Saccharomyces cerevisiae S288C: one gene and its partners. The protein of the gene in region 3 binds, or shares a complex with, the protein of the main gene of each other region. Each region holds a gene or a part of one and is shown on either strand. Other genes may lie near its edges. A codon is read from its position in the direction of its gene.

Region 1 (6,007 bases), on a different chromosome or scaffold from region 3:
AGGTGCCAATTCTTCATTTACGGGACCAATGCAGTATTTCGTGAAATCAGGGATCTGCGAGATATTAGATGTCCTGAGAAAGTGCCGGTATCTTATGCAATTAATTTGATACTTAGACATAATTACAGAACTATTTATCCATTGACCAATCTCTCACGATCTTCATCTTTTACGTACTTTCTGGGTTCCAATGCAAGTATCCCATCCCTTCCCTTTTTATTCCTTGACGATCGGGCGATGAAATCTGAAAAAAATGAAAGTTTGGATGACTCAAAACATAGTGTTTCCCTTTAATAGAATAATTCGATTTACTCGGGAACAAAAGAGAAGAGCAACTAATTTACTATGTAGTTTACGAGCGTATGTTCATCTCTTCTATATATTCTCCCAGAGTATTATTGGAAATGTTGATGAATGCTAATTCAGGCTCACCTTCTCCTTGAAATGATTCGGAGATTTCTTTATTGATGAGTGTTAACAGACCCAAATCCCATTTGTTCCTTAAACTAACAAAAAATTTCATATATGTTAGTACCAAGAGTAAATCACCTTGCGTTCTTTTCTTTTGCTTGGCGGCAGAAAAACATATTAAAGCAATGCTATGAATGGAAGCCATGCGATCTTCATTAATAGTGATGTAAGGTCTTGGAGGTAGAGTTGGCATTATCGGTACACTATTAGCGGTATTCCCAGGATTCTGTTGTTCGATTAAACCGACAGTTTCGTCACGATTAGCAGCCTCAGGAGATCTAATCATCATATCTCTTAGAATGTCAAGAACAGCAATCTTTGCAGTTATATATGGACAATGTAGTAGAGTTTCAAAGATGAACGTAAAAGATGTGCTTTCGGGCATGAGATAGAGTAACCTCCTCAGAAGAGTAATTTCGGTCAACTTAGTGTCGTTATTAGATTCATTGCAAGTTTTCATCAGTAACATCTGCAAAAAGGCCGTGGTAATGTGCCCTGGAAGTTCTTGTAAGGCACACTTTATTTTCTCTGTGGAAGTCTCGGTTGTGGATACCCATAGCCAGTAGCGTACTGAACTTTCCAAAAACTTATTTTCGTATATTTCTGAAAATAAAGAAGCTGTCGTACACCGTAGATAGAGGTAAATTGCGCTTTGGATATCAATTTGCGGCAATAAGTGAGTACCATTTTTAGAATAATGTATTGCAGATAGAATCACAACTCCATATTGGTCCAGCTCTAAGTTCTTTTCGTCAGCTAGTTTCTTGATTTGATATGCGTAAGATACCTCATATACTAGTTGGTTAATTTCTTCTTTGAATTCGGGCGTGGAAGCGGCCGGGTTCATGAGAAGAGAGTTATAGATGCTTCTTGATTCTACCAGGCACTTTTCTAAAAGTTCTTTCATGTGGACATCCAATGATGTGACATACTCGTAGTATTGGTGGCATATCTGTAAAACTGAAGCATCGATTTCATTTTCATCTGTTTTTTTATGCATCAATGTTTTGAAATATATCTTGTCAATATTACCTGGATGATTTTTTAGGCAGTTGCTAATCACGAATACGCTCAGATTAGCCAGTAGTTTTTTCTGTAAGGCAGATTCATCATCATGAATTTTTTCAAGATCGTTTGTACTAATACCATCGGTCAGACTAGCAGATGGTTGAGCTGGAGAGTAATTAGTACAAAAATTGTACACTATGCGCAAAATAAAGTGTGGATCATCCATAGCCTGAACGTTGGTTGTTACATACTTAATAATTGCAGAAGTTACCATGGCTAGAAATTTAGATGGATATAAAGTGTCCACACGTTTCAACAATAAACTCATAAATTCAAAGAGAACGTAAATTTTCAAATTTGGAATGAATTCTACTGTATTTTTGGCCATATAGTGCCCAATCTCCGGAGTGATAACTGACAGCTCATCAGTAATGTTTGACGCATCATTTCTATTGGAGTCATTTAAATCTTCATTCTCTTCATCGGAGTCGCCAGTTTCAGTTAAGACTATATGGAGTGTTGACACCAATTCGCAAGCGGTCAACAAGCATTCTTTCGGATTTCCATTGATGGCTAGCTCATTGAAGCATTCCATCACACTAGAAACAAGGGGACTAAAAACTAGATGTATATTGACATTGATGTTTTTGCGTGAGAAAAACTGCAATAAACCCTTTGGCAGATCCCAGCCAATTTCCTTTAAGGTAACTGGATTATCCTTAAGTATTTTCAATAGGGCATCCAAATAACGTTCCTTTTCTTTTATAGACTTTCCAGAGTTCACCTGCTCGTTGTACATATCAATGATTGTTACAAGTGAGACAAAATCATCCTTCTCCTCTTGGAAAGCCCTGACAAGGCTTTTACAAATTGTTTCAATTGACTCACCCATACTTTCTGAGCCCTTCCTCTTGACGGTGAGTTCTTTTAGCCTTTTAGACCCAGGATAATATGTATTTTCCTTTATTCTTAGATGAGAGGTTTTTGGACCTCAGCGCAAGTTAGTTTCACAGCGAAACGAAGGAAAAAAGAATAATAATTACAAACAAACGCCAAAATCAAACGCGATAAAGAAAGATAGGCTAAGTAATCTGGACTGGTGACTCAAGTATTACTAAAGAAGATAATTTGAAACTTGAACAAGTCTTCAATATGAGTGAGCAAAGCCAATTAGATGATTCGACTATAGACAAACTGATTCCACAGATTTTCAATGAGATGAGATCTAACCTCAATAACACGACCAATAAATTTCCAAAAAGCACAGGAGGTGGAGCAAGCGATAATATTTCGGCTAACAGCAATTCTATAAGATCGTTTAATTCAATCACAACGCAATCCTTACTCAAAGAATCAGAATCGTTAGATAAAATAACAGCAATGATAAAAAATGTTACGGCCGCATTAAAAAATAACTTGCCAGTATACGTTAATCAAGTACATGAGGTATGTAAATCTACGAATTCCATTTTAGATTCATGGATCAACATTCATTCTCAAGCTGGTTATATTCATAAATTGATGAGCGATCAAACCTATTTAAAGCTAATTAATGATAGACTGCACAATGAAAATGTAAACACAAATGATGAAGATGGGAGTACTTTACACAACGTGATAGCGTTGAAAAAGAAGGAGATCTTGGATTTGAGACAAAAATTAGAAAATAGGAAGGGTGAAAAGGATGCTGCACCAGCAAAGCCACCAAATCAAGGCTTAAATCCAAGGTACGGTGTGCAATCTGGTAGAAGGCCCGTTCCTTCGGCAGGAATTTCAAATAACGGAAGAGTAAGAAAGACCCATGTTCCTGCCTCGAAAAGACCTAGTGGTATACCAAGAGTAACTAACAGGTGGACTAAGCCCACTGCTAGCAGCTCAAGGAAGATGTTTCGCTAAAAGATGCTTTCGGGAATGTATCTAGGATTTATTGTATATGGAATTTAAATCGAAATAGTAGATAAATTAATGATGAAAAAAGGACACGTTAATTGGATGCGTTAAATTATTATTTTTTTTTTTATTTAACTTTTGTTCCTAATTATGTATTAGTATTTACTGGTCGTCAAAAAATAGGAAAGGTAAATAAATAAGATTCGGGTATATTATACATTATAAATGAGAACTAACCGGTTCATGCCTTAGTTTCAACAGGAACTTGGTCTTCTAATAGAACTAATAAATCAGAAGAGTCCACATTTTCACCATCAGAGACAAACACTTCTTTAACTTGTCCATCGGATGGAGAAGATATAATCATTTCCATTTTCATGGCGCTTAATACGGCTACAGGTTGGCCCTTCTTTATTAGTGATCCTTTATGAACTTTAACTTCAACAATGACACCTGCCATTGGTGCACCAATGTGTAATGGATCATGCATGTCTGCTTTGGATTTAGTAACAGTTTCCACTTTTTGTGATCTGTCAGCAACACGAATTTTTCTCATTTCACCATTCAAATCAAAGTAAACTTCTCTTTCACCGGTCTTTTTGTTCAAATCACCCACAGCCTGTAGCTTGATAATTAGCGTTTTACCTTGTTCGATTACAACTTCAATTTCTTCGTCAGTCTCTAGTGGAGACAAAAAGCTTCTTGTTGGCAATACAGATAAATCACCATACGTTTCTCTCATCTTTTGGAAGTCTTCATAAACTCTTGGGTACATGTTATAAGAAGCAACGTCGCACTCATCAACATCACCAAATCTATTCTGCAAGTCTTCTCTAATTTTTTCGAGATCAAATGGCTCTAGTTCCAGGCCTGGACGACAAGTCAACTTTCTTCTCTTGTTCCTTAAAACGTCTGATCTAAATGGTTCTGGGAACCCACCATATGGTTGGCCGATTAAGCCTTCGAAGAAATCCATAACAGAGTCAGGGAAATCCAAAGAATTAGCCAGGCGTCTCACATCATCGGAAGTTAATTTATTGGAGACCATAAATTGTGCCAGATCACCAACGACCTTCGAAGTTGGGGTAACTTTGACAATATCACCCAATAAATAATTGGCTTCTCTGTAAGCTCTTTTTGTTTCGGCCCATTGTTCTCCAAGACCCAATTGTTGGGCTTGAAACAACAAGTTTGTCAATTGACCACCTGGGATTTCATGTTGATAAACTTCTGGATCTGGGCCCTTCAAGTCAGCCTCGAAACAAGAGTATAACAATCTCATCTCTGCCCAATATGCATCTAGTTCACGGACATGCTCAACGTTAATACCAGTGTCAATATTACCTTCTAATGAAGCCAACAGAGCATTGATTGATGGTTGTGAAGTTAAACCAGACATTGAGTTGATGGCAACATCAACGACATCGGCGCCCGCCAGAGCACACGCAGTCATTGATGCAACAGCAGTACCTGCAGAATCGTGAGTGTGAACATGTATTGGGAGATCAGGGTACTTAGCCCTCAAAGATCCAATCAGTAGTTTGGCAGCTGCTGGCTTCATGGTACCTGCCATATCTTTGATACCCAGGATATGAGTGCCCATTTGGACAATTTTTTCAGCAATTTCCAAGTAGTAATCCAAATTGTATTTCTTGCCTGGCTGAAGCATATCCCCAGAGAAACAAACAGTGGCTTCTACAACACCACCTGCCTTCTTCACAGCATCTACACCGACCTTCAATTGTTCCAAGTCATTTAAGGCATCAAAGACTCTAAATATATCAACACCATTATCCTTGGCTTGCTTGACGAAATGGTCAATAGCATTGTCAGGCAATGAAGAATAAGCCACACCATTGGCACCACGCAATAACATTTGGAATGGAATATTAGGCACCAGAGATCTTAATTTTCTCAAACGTTCCCATGGATCCTCATGCAAAAATCTCATTGCAACATCGAATGTGGCACCACCCCAACATTCTAAGGCGAAACGACCTGCAAGGGCATGTGCGGTTGTTGGAGCGATTGTAGCCAAATCGTGGGTTCTGACTCTTGTTGCAAGTAGAGATTGATGAGCGTCTCTCCAGGTGGTGTCCATCAATAAAGTACCATTGAACTGTCTAACTTGTCTGGCAAATTCAGCTGGCCCCTTTTCTAGTAGCACTTGCCTCCATCCGGATGGTGGTGCAGACTTTGTAACGTTGATGACATTGCCCTGAGCATCGTGCAAATGGGGGACACTTGGATTTGATTTTAATTTTGGCAAGCCAATTTGACCCTTGATAGATGAACCATTGACTGCCACGTCGGCGAGGTAATGTAAAAGTTTTTGGGCTCTGTTTTGTGATGAAACCATTTGGAACAGTTGTGGGGTGTCGTCAATAAAAGTCGTCCAGTATGTACCCTCAATAAATACTGGATTGGTCAAAAGAGTCAATAGGAAGGGAATGTTGGTCTTGACACCTCTAATTCTGAACTCGATTAATGCACGAATCATTTTTCTACGAACGATTTCGTAGGTGGAACCGGAGCATGAGCATTTGACCAGCATTGAGTCGTAATGAGGTGAGATTATTGTTCCTGCATAGGCGTTACCACCATCCAGTCTAACACCATTACCACCTGCAGAACGGTA
Region 2 (5,748 bases), on a different chromosome or scaffold from region 3:
CGCCGTATCGCTTTTTTTTTTTTTTTTCAATACAGGATCAAGACGAAAAACACTTTTCTGTTCTTGTTTGTCTCTGTTGGTTGGATTATATCTCCAACAAAAGGGAAAATCCCAGTTTGACCTTATTATATTAGAATTGTCTTTTGTCTTCTTTCTTTCATTTTGTACATCTTTCTGTCTTCTCAAATCTTTTTTTTATTTTTTGTATATATAAAACTAAAGCTAAAAGACTATGGATACCTCTCACGAAATTCATGATAAAATACCCGATACATTAAGAGAGCAGCAGCAGCATTTGCGCCAAAAAGAGTCGGAAGGGTGCATAACAACATTGAAAGATCTTAATGTACCTGAGACGAAGAAACTTTCCTCCGTCTTACATGGCAGAAAGGCGAGTACATATTTAAGAATTTTTAGAGATGATGAATGTTTAGCCGATAACAACAATGGTGTAGATAGCAATAATGGCGGGTCCGTGACATGCGCGGACAAAATAACAAGGTCAGAAGCAACTCCCAAATCGGTACCAGAAGGACTACAAGTTTCTGAAAAAAAGAATAACCCAGATACTTTGTCCTCTTCATTGTCAAGTTTCATTTTATCTAACCACGAGGAGCCGGCAATTAAGCCCAATAAACACGTGGCGCATAGAAATAATATTACTGAGACAGGTCAAGGCTCTGGTGAGGATATCGCAAAACAACAATCACACCAACCACAGGTGTTACACCACCAGACTTCTTTAAAGCCAATTCAGAATGTTGATGAGGGATGTATTTCGCCTAAGTCCACTTATCAGGAGAGCTTACATGGAATATCGGAGGACTTAACGTTAAAGCCTGTTTCTTCTGCAACATACTATCCTCACAAAAGTAAAGCAGATTCTGGTTATGAAGAAAAGGATAAAATGGAAAATGATATTGATACTATTCAGCCTGCCACCATAAATTGTGCCTCTGGTATAGCGACACTTCCTAGTTCATATAACCGACATACTTTCAAAGTTAAGACATATTCAACTTTATCACAATCCCTAAGGCAAGAAAACGTCAACAATCGTAGTAACGAAAAAAAACCTCAACAGTTTGTGCCACATAGCGAATCAATTAAAGAAAAACCCAATACGTTTGAACAAGATAAAGAAGGCGAGCAAGCGGACGAAGAAGAGGATGAAGGTGATAATGAACATAGGGAATATCCCCTAGCAGTTGAACTAAAACCATTTACGAATAGAGTTGGAGGTCACACTGCAATATTCAGATTTTCGAAGAGAGCGGTTTGTAAGGCTCTAGTGAATAGAGAAAACAGGTGGTATGAGAATATAGAGCTGTGCCATAAAGAATTATTGCAATTCATGCCACGTTATATTGGTGTCCTGAATGTTAGGCAACATTTTCAGTCAAAAGATGACTTTTTAAGCGATTTGGATCAAGAAAACAACGGTAAAAATGATACCAGTAATGAAAACAAAGACATAGAAGTCAATCATAACAATAACGACGATATTGCGCTTAATACAGAACCCACGGGGACCCCCTTAACACACATACATTCCTTCCCCTTGGAACATTCGTCGAGACAAGTACTTGAAAAAGAGCATCCTGAAATTGAGTCTGTCCATCCACACGTGAAAAGATCACTGTCAAGTTCCAACCAACCTTCCTTGTTGCCCGAGGTTGTATTAAATGATAACAGGCATATTATACCGGAATCTCTGTGGTACAAATATTCCGATTCTCCAAACTCGGCACCGAATGATTCGTACTTTTCGTCCTCCTCTTCTCATAACTCATGTTCGTTCGGTGAGCGTGGCAATACAAATAAATTAAAAAGACGCGATTCTGGGTCCACCATGATCAATACTGAATTGAAGAACCTAGTCATAAGGGAAGTATTTGCACCGAAATGTTTTAGAAGGAAAAGAAACTCTAATACGACTACAATGGGAAACCATAATGCGCGTTTGGGTTCCAGTCCATCTTTTTTAACACAAAAATCAAGAGCCTCGTCCCATGATGCATCGAATACGTCTATGAAGACTCTTGGTGATTCATCGTCACAAGCGAGTTTACAGATGGATGACTCGAAAGTCAATCCGAATTTGCAGGATCCTTTCTTGAAAAAATCGCTTCATGAAAAAATATCTAATGCTTTAGATGGCTCGCATTCAGTAATGGATTTGAAGCAATTCCACAAAAACGAACAAATAAAACATAAAAACTCTTTCTGCAACTCTTTATCACCCATTCTCACTGCAACCAATTCTAGAGATGATGGCGAATTTGCCACCTCCCCGAATTATATCAGCAACGCACAAGATGGTGTTTTTGATATGGATGAAGATACGGGAAACGAAACTATAAATATGGATAACCACGGCTGCCATCTTGACTCTGGTAAAAACATGATTATAAAGTCATTGGCGTATAATGTTTCAAATGACTATAGTCATCATGATATTGAATCAATTACGTTTGAGGAGACGTCCCACACCATTGTTTCAAAATTTATCTTATTGGAAGATTTGACAAGAAACATGAACAAGCCTTGTGCACTGGATCTAAAGATGGGGACAAGACAATATGGCGTAGACGCCAAAAGAGCCAAGCAACTGTCACAGCGTGCAAAGTGTTTAAAGACCACTTCTAGGCGTTTAGGCGTTAGAATCTGCGGATTAAAGGTTTGGAACAAAGATTATTATATCACAAGAGATAAATACTTTGGTAGAAGGGTTAAGGTTGGTTGGCAATTTGCTAGGGTACTTGCACGTTTTTTGTATGATGGTAAGACCATTGAAAGTTTAATCAGGCAAATTCCAAGGTTGATCAAGCAACTAGATACTTTGTATTCTGAAATTTTTAATTTGAAAGGTTACAGGCTATATGGCGCGTCTTTATTACTAATGTACGATGGAGATGCTAATAAATCAAATTCTAAAAGGAAAAAAGCTGCTAATGTTAAAGTCAACTTGATCGATTTTGCACGTTGTGTTACTAAAGAAGATGCAATGGAATGTATGGATAAATTTCGTATACCCCCAAAATCGCCAAATATAGAAGATAAAGGGTTCTTACGAGGTGTGAAGAGCTTGAGGTTTTATCTGTTATTAATCTGGAATTATCTGACTTCTGATATGCCGTTAATTTTCGATGAAGTAGAGATGAATGATATGATTAGCGAAGAAGCAGATTCGAATAGTTTCACCTCCGCCACCGGTTCGAAAATCAACTTCAACAGTAAGTGGGATTGGTTAGATGAATTTGACAAAGAAGACGAAGAAATGTATAATGATCCAAATAGTAAACTAAGACAAAAATGGAGAAAATACGAGCTTATTTTCGACGCTGAACCAAGATACAATGACGATGCTCAAGTTAGTGATTGAAAAGAAAGGATAGAACTAATGAATATTCTTTTAGCTGCGCTTATTTCAGTCCGTAAATGCATTTATCTATTCGTAACTATCATTATTTTGATTGCATAATCCAATAAATACACAAACGAGCATAGCATATATAACTATATATATGAAAAGACAAACGAATTTGTACGTGTATGAATATGACTACACGGTTATAGGCGATCACTAGAACCATTGAGCGGAAAGGGCCACCTCCGGGTAAAAGTCAAGGCCGCGAAAATAACAAAGGGAATAAACAGTCACCTTTAACAAGAGGAGGTAGTAATTAGCGTAGGAATAGGACTGATGAAGAGCTCGGACGTGTGAGGATATATGTACATATGATGGCTAGTACATCCAATGATGAAGAAAAGTTGATATCAACCACTGACAAATACTTCATCGAGCAGAGGAATATAGTATTGCAGGAGATCAATGAGACTATGAATTCAATCTTGAATGGTCTGAATGGTCTCAATATATCATTGGAGAGCTCGATAGCTGTGGGAAGAGAATTCCAGTCAGTTTCTGATTTGTGGAAAACACTTTATGATGGGTTGGAAAGTTTATCAGACGAAGCGCCCATCGACGAGCAACCTACTTTATCTCAATCGAAAACGAAGTAAAGTTGCGGTTCCCTCTGTCTCTCCTAATATTATCCTAAATTTATGTTTACAGTCGCAAATTAGATAAAGGATACGTAAGATATAAATTGTAATTTTAGCCTAATGATAAGTAAGTTGTGGACAACTTTTGCACGTTGAAAAAAGTGGAGGGCCACCGAACTCTTTTTCAAACGTTCTCCTCTTTGAACTTAGTTGTCTACCGTTTTGGATGGTAATAGCTGTTTCTTGGATAGACCTACCTTATATTTAACCTTGTTAGAATCCACCTGATAGAATGTCTTGTTCGTTTCATATATCAAGTCCTTTAGGCTCTTCTTCTTCCTTGGAGGGCTTTTCTTCATTGAAGGTGGTGGTTGTAGCCTGTCAAGCTCTTTCGAGGGACCTCCTTGGTATTGATCTTGTTCTCTTACTCCTTTTTTGGCGTCCAGATAAGCACCCCCATTGGGGCTTCCGCCACCTGTGTTCTCAGACAGATTTTTGGCACGAAGTTGTTGTTTTTCCAATTCCAAATTAAACAGTCTTCTTTCTACAACGTTGATGTTGACTATGGGAGAAGTCGTAATAGACCTTTTGTTCTTTCTTGCTGGAGCAACTTCGGTGCACAAGCTCTTTTCGGCATTATTATGTACCCCGAGTGGTATATAGGAGCAGCTTCTCCTATTTGATCTTTGTTGCATCGTCTTGATTTCTCTCTTTCGTTCGTCTCTGACATGTAGTTGTAATTCAAGAATTTAACCTGGGCGGCTATCTTAATAAATAGTGCATTACTCAAGCAAAAATCAGAAACCACGTACGCTAATTAAAGCCGTGAAAAACGAAAATATAAATATGCGAGAGTATACATTAAAATATTGTACATGTTAGCGACGCAGATTTATACCTCGCCATTTTTAGTCTTGAATTGAGGTGATCTTTTATTAAAGAGCATATCACCTCGGCAAGAACCCAGGTCTATTACACAAGTGGCAAGGCAAAGTGTGCATAATAAATATGTAATATAGTTACTTGCATTTTTTAATCTCTTGAGGTTATTATTCCTCATGTTGTCTAACTTCCAAGCAACTAGGAGTGATAAACACGTCGTCTTTAGGAATGGTGAACATTGGCAGTTATGGCCATTCAGAATGAATTTCAAGAGAAAAAGGATGCACCTTGCATGAAGTACCAAGAAAATAGACAAATCCGCTGGAGAAATTGGTATTGTTACTATAATTCTTATTCCCGATGTTCCAAGCAGGCATTCACATGCATCAGTTGAAAGGTATATAAGTACTACTTCAATATATCTATCAGCTCTGGGAAAATGCTTCAAGAAGGAAAAATGATAAGTAAACTATCCTTTAACGCCTCATGATTATTGAATAGCCTATACATGCAGAGATTAAATTTGATCCAACACCAGTAAATCCTTAGTTAAGTCATCGCATGCATGTTTACCATACATTCACTACTATTTGTGTACGGAAGACCAAATAAGATAAACCATAATGCTGGTCTCCTTCCATTTACTAACATACGTAATTGCTCCTACTGCCGTTCAGCCTAACCTACTCACACATTCTGATGGTGATCATGCAATCTTTGAGTGAATATGTTGACTAAAAGAACATTAAGCTTTATTTTTTTGGCGTGACCAGCGGGTACTGCGATTCTTTGACTTTGTTTTCTACTGTATCACTGGAAATTGATTGAATAATTAACCAATTTAAAGTAACAATAACA
Region 3 (5,882 bases):
CCATTTTATTATTTTGGGTGCCAAAAAATGTGTATTGTAACAAATTAAAAGGTAATGAGCCTCATTGAGGTCATTTCAGTTGTTACACTGAAAAGAACAGATACTACACTTGATCTAAGCCAAAAGGCAAAGAGATTCGTGGGGATTTAAAAAAAAAACAAGTAGAAACAAAATGAATAAATCTGATAACAAGTAAAGTACTCATCGATGAAAAAATGAATGTAGAGCCCTTTTTATATGTTTTCACCGAGTGGCCCATCGGAAACGGCAAAAAAAAAAAAAGAAAGAAAAAAGAAAAGAAACATAGAGCGTTGCTAGGTTTTTTTTGCCACCCACACCCATACACCCCATTACTTTGTCTGCAGCATCGTTATACACGTAGTGAAAGTGTGCAGGCCTCGGCGGTTAAAAAAATTTGAGCAGAAAAGCATGTTATTTAATACATGTAATATTTGTCTATGAAGCTTCGCTATCCTGCTGCAACTGCTGAGCAAGTTGTTGCCGGCGCAATTCTTTGTATCTCTCGTCCTCTGCAGACCCGACCCGCTGCAGAAATTCTTGCCGGGCCAAGAACCCATCCTTGTTGTGCAGCACCAATTCGTCGTTAAGTCCAGCACGGTCTACATAACTAGCCCAGTCCAGCTGAGATTTTTCTAATGTCGTTAGCTTGGGTCGTAGCCCGCCAGAAATGATCTGCTCCAACAATGGAGGCCTTTTCAGTGGCCGTCGCAAGTGTTGCCGGCTTTCATTGGACTTGGTCCTAACTGCTTTTTCCAGTTGAACAGGAGCAGCAGGCGCCTGCTGCTTAAATTTCAAACTGTTTAGATATTCTTGACCCTCCGCACTGCTGCGTGAAACCCATTTTTTCTCATGGACAGTTTCACCAGCAAACTTGTAGTTTCTTTCGATGAGGATTTTGTCCTCCTGTTGCGCGGCCGTTGTCGACCTAGCCTCCTTGGAACCGTCGAGAACAGAGCCGACTTTCCCTGAACTGCTCAAAAGACGGTTCTTACTAGCTTCCTGTAGCTCCTCCCAGATGCTGTTTACTTTTGCAGGGATCGATTCAACAGTTAACGATTCATACTTATGTGTTTTCGCATATTCTTCCTCAGCTTGCCGAGCTCTTCTAGTCTTGATCAGTCCGCCGCTCTCGCTCTCTATACGCGAATAGTCCACTTTATTTCTACCCTTATCTCTGTTCACACCGTCATCATAGTCGTCACCGCCATCGCTGGCATCACTATCGTCGCTACCACCACCTAATTTATCTTTTTCAGGCTGGAAGTCCTCGTCCTCCTCTTCTATGTAGCCGTCCTCGTCCTCGTCCTCCTTTTCGTTTGGTATAATCTTTGTCTCTACTTCTGGCATTTATAGGCTAGTGGGTTTTCTTTCTTGAAACAATATTATTCCAGTTTACGCCTTTTCGTCTTTTTTCTTACTTGTCGATTAATCCTATTCATCATCTTTAAACTTCGCTCTTTAATTCACTTTTTTTTGTCTTTCCCCGATATGGTACTTACACGAAATATCATGATACAAAAGAAAACACGTACATACTCGTCAAACGATAAATACGCACCTAGTCGTTAGCCGCATAAGTAACCTTTTTCATATTCAAACTTATCCATAGCCACATCCACTCTAACAATTTTAATCGTCCAGCGCGGCATTAAATAATCTTTCTGTAATACTCTTTAGCTCAATTATGTCCACAGAGACTACAAAACCATCAATCACTACTACACCAACTACTGTACTCGTTTCTCCCAACACGCTCAAAAGGAAAAAGGGTGAAGACACCAGCGAGGAACAACTGGAAGCAGAAATCAAACGCGTGGCCCTGAAGGATGCAGACAGCCACTCTGACAACGACCACGATTCCCCCGACAATGTTCCCTCTGATGTACATTTACGAATGCTGTGCTTAGTCAAACACGCTTCACTGATAGTAGGACACAAGGGCGCCACTATATCTAGAATAAAATCCGAAACCTCTGCTAGAATAAACATATCAAATAATATCAGAGGTGTTCCTGAAAGAATTGTTTACGTGAGGGGTACTTGCGATGATGTAGCCAAGGCATACGGCATGATAGTAAGAGCGCTGCTTGAAGAACATGGTAACGAAGATAACGGGGAAGACATTGAGATTTCTATCAACCTATTGATCCCTCATCATCTTATGGGATGTATAATTGGCAAACGTGGGTCTCGGTTAAGAGAAATTGAGGATTTGAGTGCAGCAAAATTATTCGCGTCCCCGAATCAATTGCTGCTTTCTAACGATAGAATTTTAACCATTAACGGGGTTCCGGATGCTATCCATATTGCTACTTTCTACATTAGTCAAACATTGCTAAACTTTCAGATGGAATCTCCGCAGAAAAATGTGAAAAGGTCCATATACTATCAGCCAACTCAGTTTAACTCAGTATTAATAGACCATAGCCAACCGAACACCATTTTCCATCAAAGAAACCACCAATATCATCCAAGCGATAAACTACTTTCATACAAACCCAACAAAAATTTACCAATATCATCTACTTTGTTGAGTATGGCCACACCGCAGTATACTACTGCTAGCGTTGCAAACGCAACGGCCTTTCAACCGAACTTCGTTATCCCTAATGTGACAGTCTTAGACGGCCCTGTTATCAGTCCGGCACCCGGCAACCATTTATTAATGAACTTTGTACAACAAGAGATATTCATAGATGAGAAATTTGTCGGAAATGTCATTGGCAAAGATGGCAAGCACATAAATTCGGTCAAGGAATCCACAGGTTGTTCAATTATTATACAAGATCCTGTAGAAGGCTCTTCGGAGAGAAGACTTACCATAAGAGGTACGTTCATGGCGTCCCAAGCTGCTATTATGTTGATTAGCAATAAAATTGAAATTGATAGATCAAATGCTGAACGTAAAAGAAGGTCGCCCCTCTAAATATACTGCTAGTCAATAAAAACACATAGAAAATAAAAATACAGAAACTACAAAAGGCAAAAAAAATAAAAGAAAAGGTAATAAATTGAATGAATGTAGATATATAAATATCAATAGAAATACGTACGCGGAATTATTTCTCTTTGTAACAAATTGATCAAAAGCTTTGTATTTTTTTTTTTTTTAGCTCGGCTGCGCGCTATTACAGTAATTACATGTAAATAAACTATTCCAAAGAATACAAAAGAAGAGCTTACAGTAGCCAGTCAAAGTCGCTGTGAAACATACACGGCGTTGTAGTCACAGTATGGAACACAATCTTTCACCTTTACAGCAAGAAGTATTGGACAAATACAAACAGCTTTCTTTAGATCTAAAAGCTCTGGATGAAACTATAAAAGAACTAAACTATTCGCAACACAGGCAACAGCATTCACAGCAAGAAACTGTATCGCCAGATGAGATACTACAGGAGATGAGGGACATAGAGGTCAAAATTGGTTTAGTTGGGACACTGCTAAAAGGTAGCGTGTACTCGCTTATCTTGCAAAGAAAGCAAGAACAGGAGTCTTTGGGTAGCAATTCTAAATAATGGTTTGGTGCAAGAAATTGATTCTGATGCTTTATTTTTTACGGTACACTACATTGTGCTGTGAGTTGTAATAATATAGTCTGTATATGCCAAGTGAAGAAAAAAACAATACAAACTCAAGGTGTATTATGAGGTAGGGAATACACATAACAATATATATATATACGTATGTATATTTAAATTGTATAAATGACGATCTTACCGTCTAACCCACAGGAAGAGACTTGTGTGATTTGGCCGTTGGATTCCGCAAAAGGTCTTAATTCCACAATGGCGTTTTCATGTGCACTTTCTTGGACATCTGTGCTAACTTTACCTTTCAAGTCTAATTCTTTAAACTTTCTCAATGCGGAAATACCGAAAGTTGAACTTTCATCATTATTACCACTCAGCTCGTCTGTATTACCAGATGCAGTTAAGGCAGAAGACTTGTTATTGTCTGATTTGTCTAGATTCTTCGCAAATTTCCAGCCTTCAGAGGCTTCGCTGAACAATACCGGATGACAAGAGTATCCTCCACAAACAATCTCGTGGTCGTTTATCCATACTAAGGACCTGTAAGGTAAACCTTCCGGAGCATTGACAGATTGCACTGGAGATTGGTAATCGACAACATTCAAAGTACCATCATGCGCTACATAAGCAATTCTTTCCATCTGACTTCTCCATTCCACATCATGGATATAAGAACCCTGATACCACTCCCTGATTAAACAACCAAAAGGGAATTTCTGGCCCCAGGGTGATCCGGCGACGGATTCCTTGGAATCCAAACCCTTGATAAACCCGCTGAACACACGCATAAACCCATCAGTACCACCAGCAGCTAATAGGACTCCATTTGCATGCCAAGACAGGCAATTGATGGTAGATTTGATGGGTTTCTTGATGTGCTTGGATACCCACCAATTATTCTCGTGTTCGTAATAACAAACAGCGATGATTCTAGCACTGGACCCAACAGCAAACTTATAACCATTTGGTGCCCATGTAACTGAAGTAGCTGCTCTGTTAATACGAAGAAGTACTAACGTGGGCTTGTATGTCCCATCACTCAATGGCTCCCAAACGTAAGCATTACGGTCTTGGGAGCAAGTCACAATACGACCATGTATGGAAATGTCCACAGCAGTAATGGTTTTATCATGATCTTTCAACGTTGCGAATAAAACGGGAGGTGTGTTGTTTGAAACTCTATAGACAAGACAATCTGTTTCGCATGTAACGGCTAAAATAGATTTATCTTGAGAAAAGCAATGAGAGTAGATTGGCGCTTTGACCAGCTTGTAGACGGCAACAACGGACTTGTCTTTAGAATTGGAAAATGACATTAGGAGACTCTCAACTAATATACGTTTACTTCGGCTTATTTTTCCTATTTTTCTTTGTTTCTAATCTGGAAGCTTTCTCGATCAAGATTGCTCTTATTTGACCCTTTTTCATTATAGGCAAGGCGCGGGCGGGTGACAAGAAGATTTTGATAATTGTGCAACTGATAACGTAGGATTCATTATCAACATTGTTGTTAAAGAGTAACAAGGAAATCTAAGAAATGGTTGTGCTTGTTGTCGAAGAAGTGATAGAGACAGTGTTTTTGCCAGCCAATTCTCTTTAAGAATAGGCCTTTCTTGTAGGATTAATGGTTAGTAGGTTTTATCAGATTCCAGGTACGCATCGGCCATCGTCGGCAATATCTTCTTCAAATGAATCTTCTTCACTGTTGTCTGCAAGGAGAATAAGTCAAACATATTTCAATTATCAGGCGACCCCTGAATGCCAAAAAGTTTCCTCTAAGTATGATCCTGATAACCCAAACAAAGATAAGTTGGGAACATACGATGGGGTATTTGTGCCTACTGCTTTAAACGTATTGTCTATCCTTATGTTTCTTCGTTTTGGCTTCATTTTGGGTCAGTTAGGTATTATATGCACCATCGGTCTTCTGCTATTGAGTTACACTATTAATCTTCTCACCACGTTAAGTATATCTGCTATATCTACAAACGGGACTGTTAGGGGCGGGGGTGCTTATTATATGATTTCAAGAAGTTTAGGACCTGAATTTGGTGGATCCATTGGGCTTGTCTTTTTCTTAGGGCAGGTGTTCAATGCAGGTATGAACGCAGTGGGTATTATCGAACCTTTACTCTATAACTTGGGTTATTCTGCTCAAGGCGAGCCACCTGCAGCTTTGGGAGAGCTACTACCAAGAGGGCATTGGCACGAATTTACATATGCCACGGTCATTCTTTTCTTATGTTTTTCTGTGGCTTTTGTTGGCTCGCAAACAGTGTCAAGAGCAGGGAATATTCTTTTTTTGGTACTGGCAGCTTCTATATTTTC

What was found.
Region 1: the proteins of DAD3 (region 3) and DUO1 are in contact, whole or in part, in a cryo-EM structure (PDB 8Q84), measured with the Saccharomyces cerevisiae proteins. Residues at the interface, in NP_631876.1 of Saccharomyces cerevisiae: Leu8 (codon at 3,276), Glu11 (codon at 3,285), Val12 (codon at 3,288), Lys15 (codon at 3,297), Tyr16 (codon at 3,300), Gln18 (codon at 3,306), Leu19 (codon at 3,309), Asp22 (codon at 3,318), Leu23 (codon at 3,321), Ala25 (codon at 3,327), Leu26 (codon at 3,330), Thr29 (codon at 3,339), Ile30 (codon at 3,342), Leu33 (codon at 3,351), Gln45 (codon at 3,387), Glu46 (codon at 3,390), Val48 (codon at 3,396), Asp51 (codon at 3,405), Glu52 (codon at 3,408), Glu56 (codon at 3,420), Met57 (codon at 3,423), Asp59 (codon at 3,429), Ile60 (codon at 3,432), Lys63 (codon at 3,441), Ile64 (codon at 3,444), Leu66 (codon at 3,450), Val67 (codon at 3,453); in NP_011454.1 of Saccharomyces cerevisiae: Leu64 (codon at 2,821), Glu67 (codon at 2,830), Ser68 (codon at 2,833), Leu71 (codon at 2,842), Asp72 (codon at 2,845), Ile74 (codon at 2,851), Thr75 (codon at 2,854), Ile78 (codon at 2,863), Lys79 (codon at 2,866), Val81 (codon at 2,872), Thr82 (codon at 2,875), Leu85 (codon at 2,884), Lys86 (codon at 2,887), Leu89 (codon at 2,896), Val93 (codon at 2,908), Asn94 (codon at 2,911), Val96 (codon at 2,917), His97 (codon at 2,920), Cys100 (codon at 2,929), Thr103 (codon at 2,938), Asn104 (codon at 2,941), Leu107 (codon at 2,950), Asp108 (codon at 2,953), Trp110 (codon at 2,959), Ile111 (codon at 2,962).
Region 2: the proteins of DAD3 (region 3) and DAD1 are in contact, whole or in part, in a cryo-EM structure (PDB 8Q84), measured with the Saccharomyces cerevisiae proteins. Residues at the interface, in NP_631876.1 of Saccharomyces cerevisiae: His3 (codon at 3,261), Asn4 (codon at 3,264), Leu5 (codon at 3,267), Gln9 (codon at 3,279), Leu13 (codon at 3,291), Tyr16 (codon at 3,300), Lys17 (codon at 3,303), Ser20 (codon at 3,312), Leu23 (codon at 3,321), Leu26 (codon at 3,330), Asp27 (codon at 3,333), Ile30 (codon at 3,342), Leu33 (codon at 3,351), Asn34 (codon at 3,354), Val48 (codon at 3,396), Glu52 (codon at 3,408), Ile53 (codon at 3,411), Leu54 (codon at 3,414), Met57 (codon at 3,423), Arg58 (codon at 3,426), Ile60 (codon at 3,432), Glu61 (codon at 3,435), Ile64 (codon at 3,444), Val67 (codon at 3,453), Gly68 (codon at 3,456), Lys72 (codon at 3,468); in NP_010299.3 of Saccharomyces cerevisiae: Thr16 (codon at 3,787), Tyr19 (codon at 3,796), Phe20 (codon at 3,799), Gln23 (codon at 3,808), Arg24 (codon at 3,811), Val27 (codon at 3,820), Leu28 (codon at 3,823), Glu30 (codon at 3,829), Ile31 (codon at 3,832), Thr34 (codon at 3,841), Met35 (codon at 3,844), Ser37 (codon at 3,850), Ile38 (codon at 3,853), Gly41 (codon at 3,862), Leu42 (codon at 3,865), Gly44 (codon at 3,871), Leu45 (codon at 3,874), Ser48 (codon at 3,883), Leu49 (codon at 3,886), Ser51 (codon at 3,892), Ser52 (codon at 3,895), Val55 (codon at 3,904), Phe59 (codon at 3,916), Val62 (codon at 3,925), Leu65 (codon at 3,934), Trp66 (codon at 3,937).

The regions. Positions count from the first base shown.
Region 1 is NC_001139.9:386,336-392,342, reverse strand, and holds DUO1 (Duo1p), read left to right. Parts: upstream 1-2,631; coding exon 2,632-3,375; downstream 3,376-6,007. Other genes in the region: protein kinase PKP2, read right to left, coding at 1-120; YBP2 (Ybp2p), read right to left, coding at 353-2,278; PYC1 (pyruvate carboxylase 1), read right to left, coding at 3,611-6,007. UniProt on the Saccharomyces cerevisiae protein: Component of the DASH complex that connects microtubules with kinetochores and couples microtubule depolymerisation to chromosome movement; it is involved in retrieving kinetochores to the spindle poles before their re-orientation on the spindle in early mitosis and allows microtubule depolymerization to pull chromosomes apart and resist detachment during anaphase.
Region 2 is NC_001136.10:476,752-482,499, reverse strand, and holds DAD1 (Dad1p), read left to right. Parts: upstream 1-3,741; coding exon 3,742-4,026; downstream 4,027-5,748. Other genes in the region: inositol polyphosphate kinase KCS1, read left to right, coding at 233-3,385; HED1 (Hed1p), read right to left, coding at 4,215-4,703. UniProt on the Saccharomyces cerevisiae protein: Component of the DASH complex that connects microtubules with kinetochores and couples microtubule depolymerisation to chromosome movement; it is involved in retrieving kinetochores to the spindle poles before their re-orientation on the spindle in early mitosis and allows microtubule depolymerization to pull chromosomes apart and resist detachment during anaphase.
Region 3 is NC_001134.8:681,723-687,604, forward strand, and holds DAD3 (Dad3p), read left to right. Parts: upstream 1-3,254; coding exon 3,255-3,539; downstream 3,540-5,882. Other genes in the region: SWC5 (Swc5p), read right to left, coding at 457-1,368; telomere maintenance protein PBP2, read left to right, coding at 1,706-2,947; ARC40 (Arc40p), read right to left, coding at 3,716-4,870; VHC1 (Vhc1p), read left to right, coding at 5,179-5,882.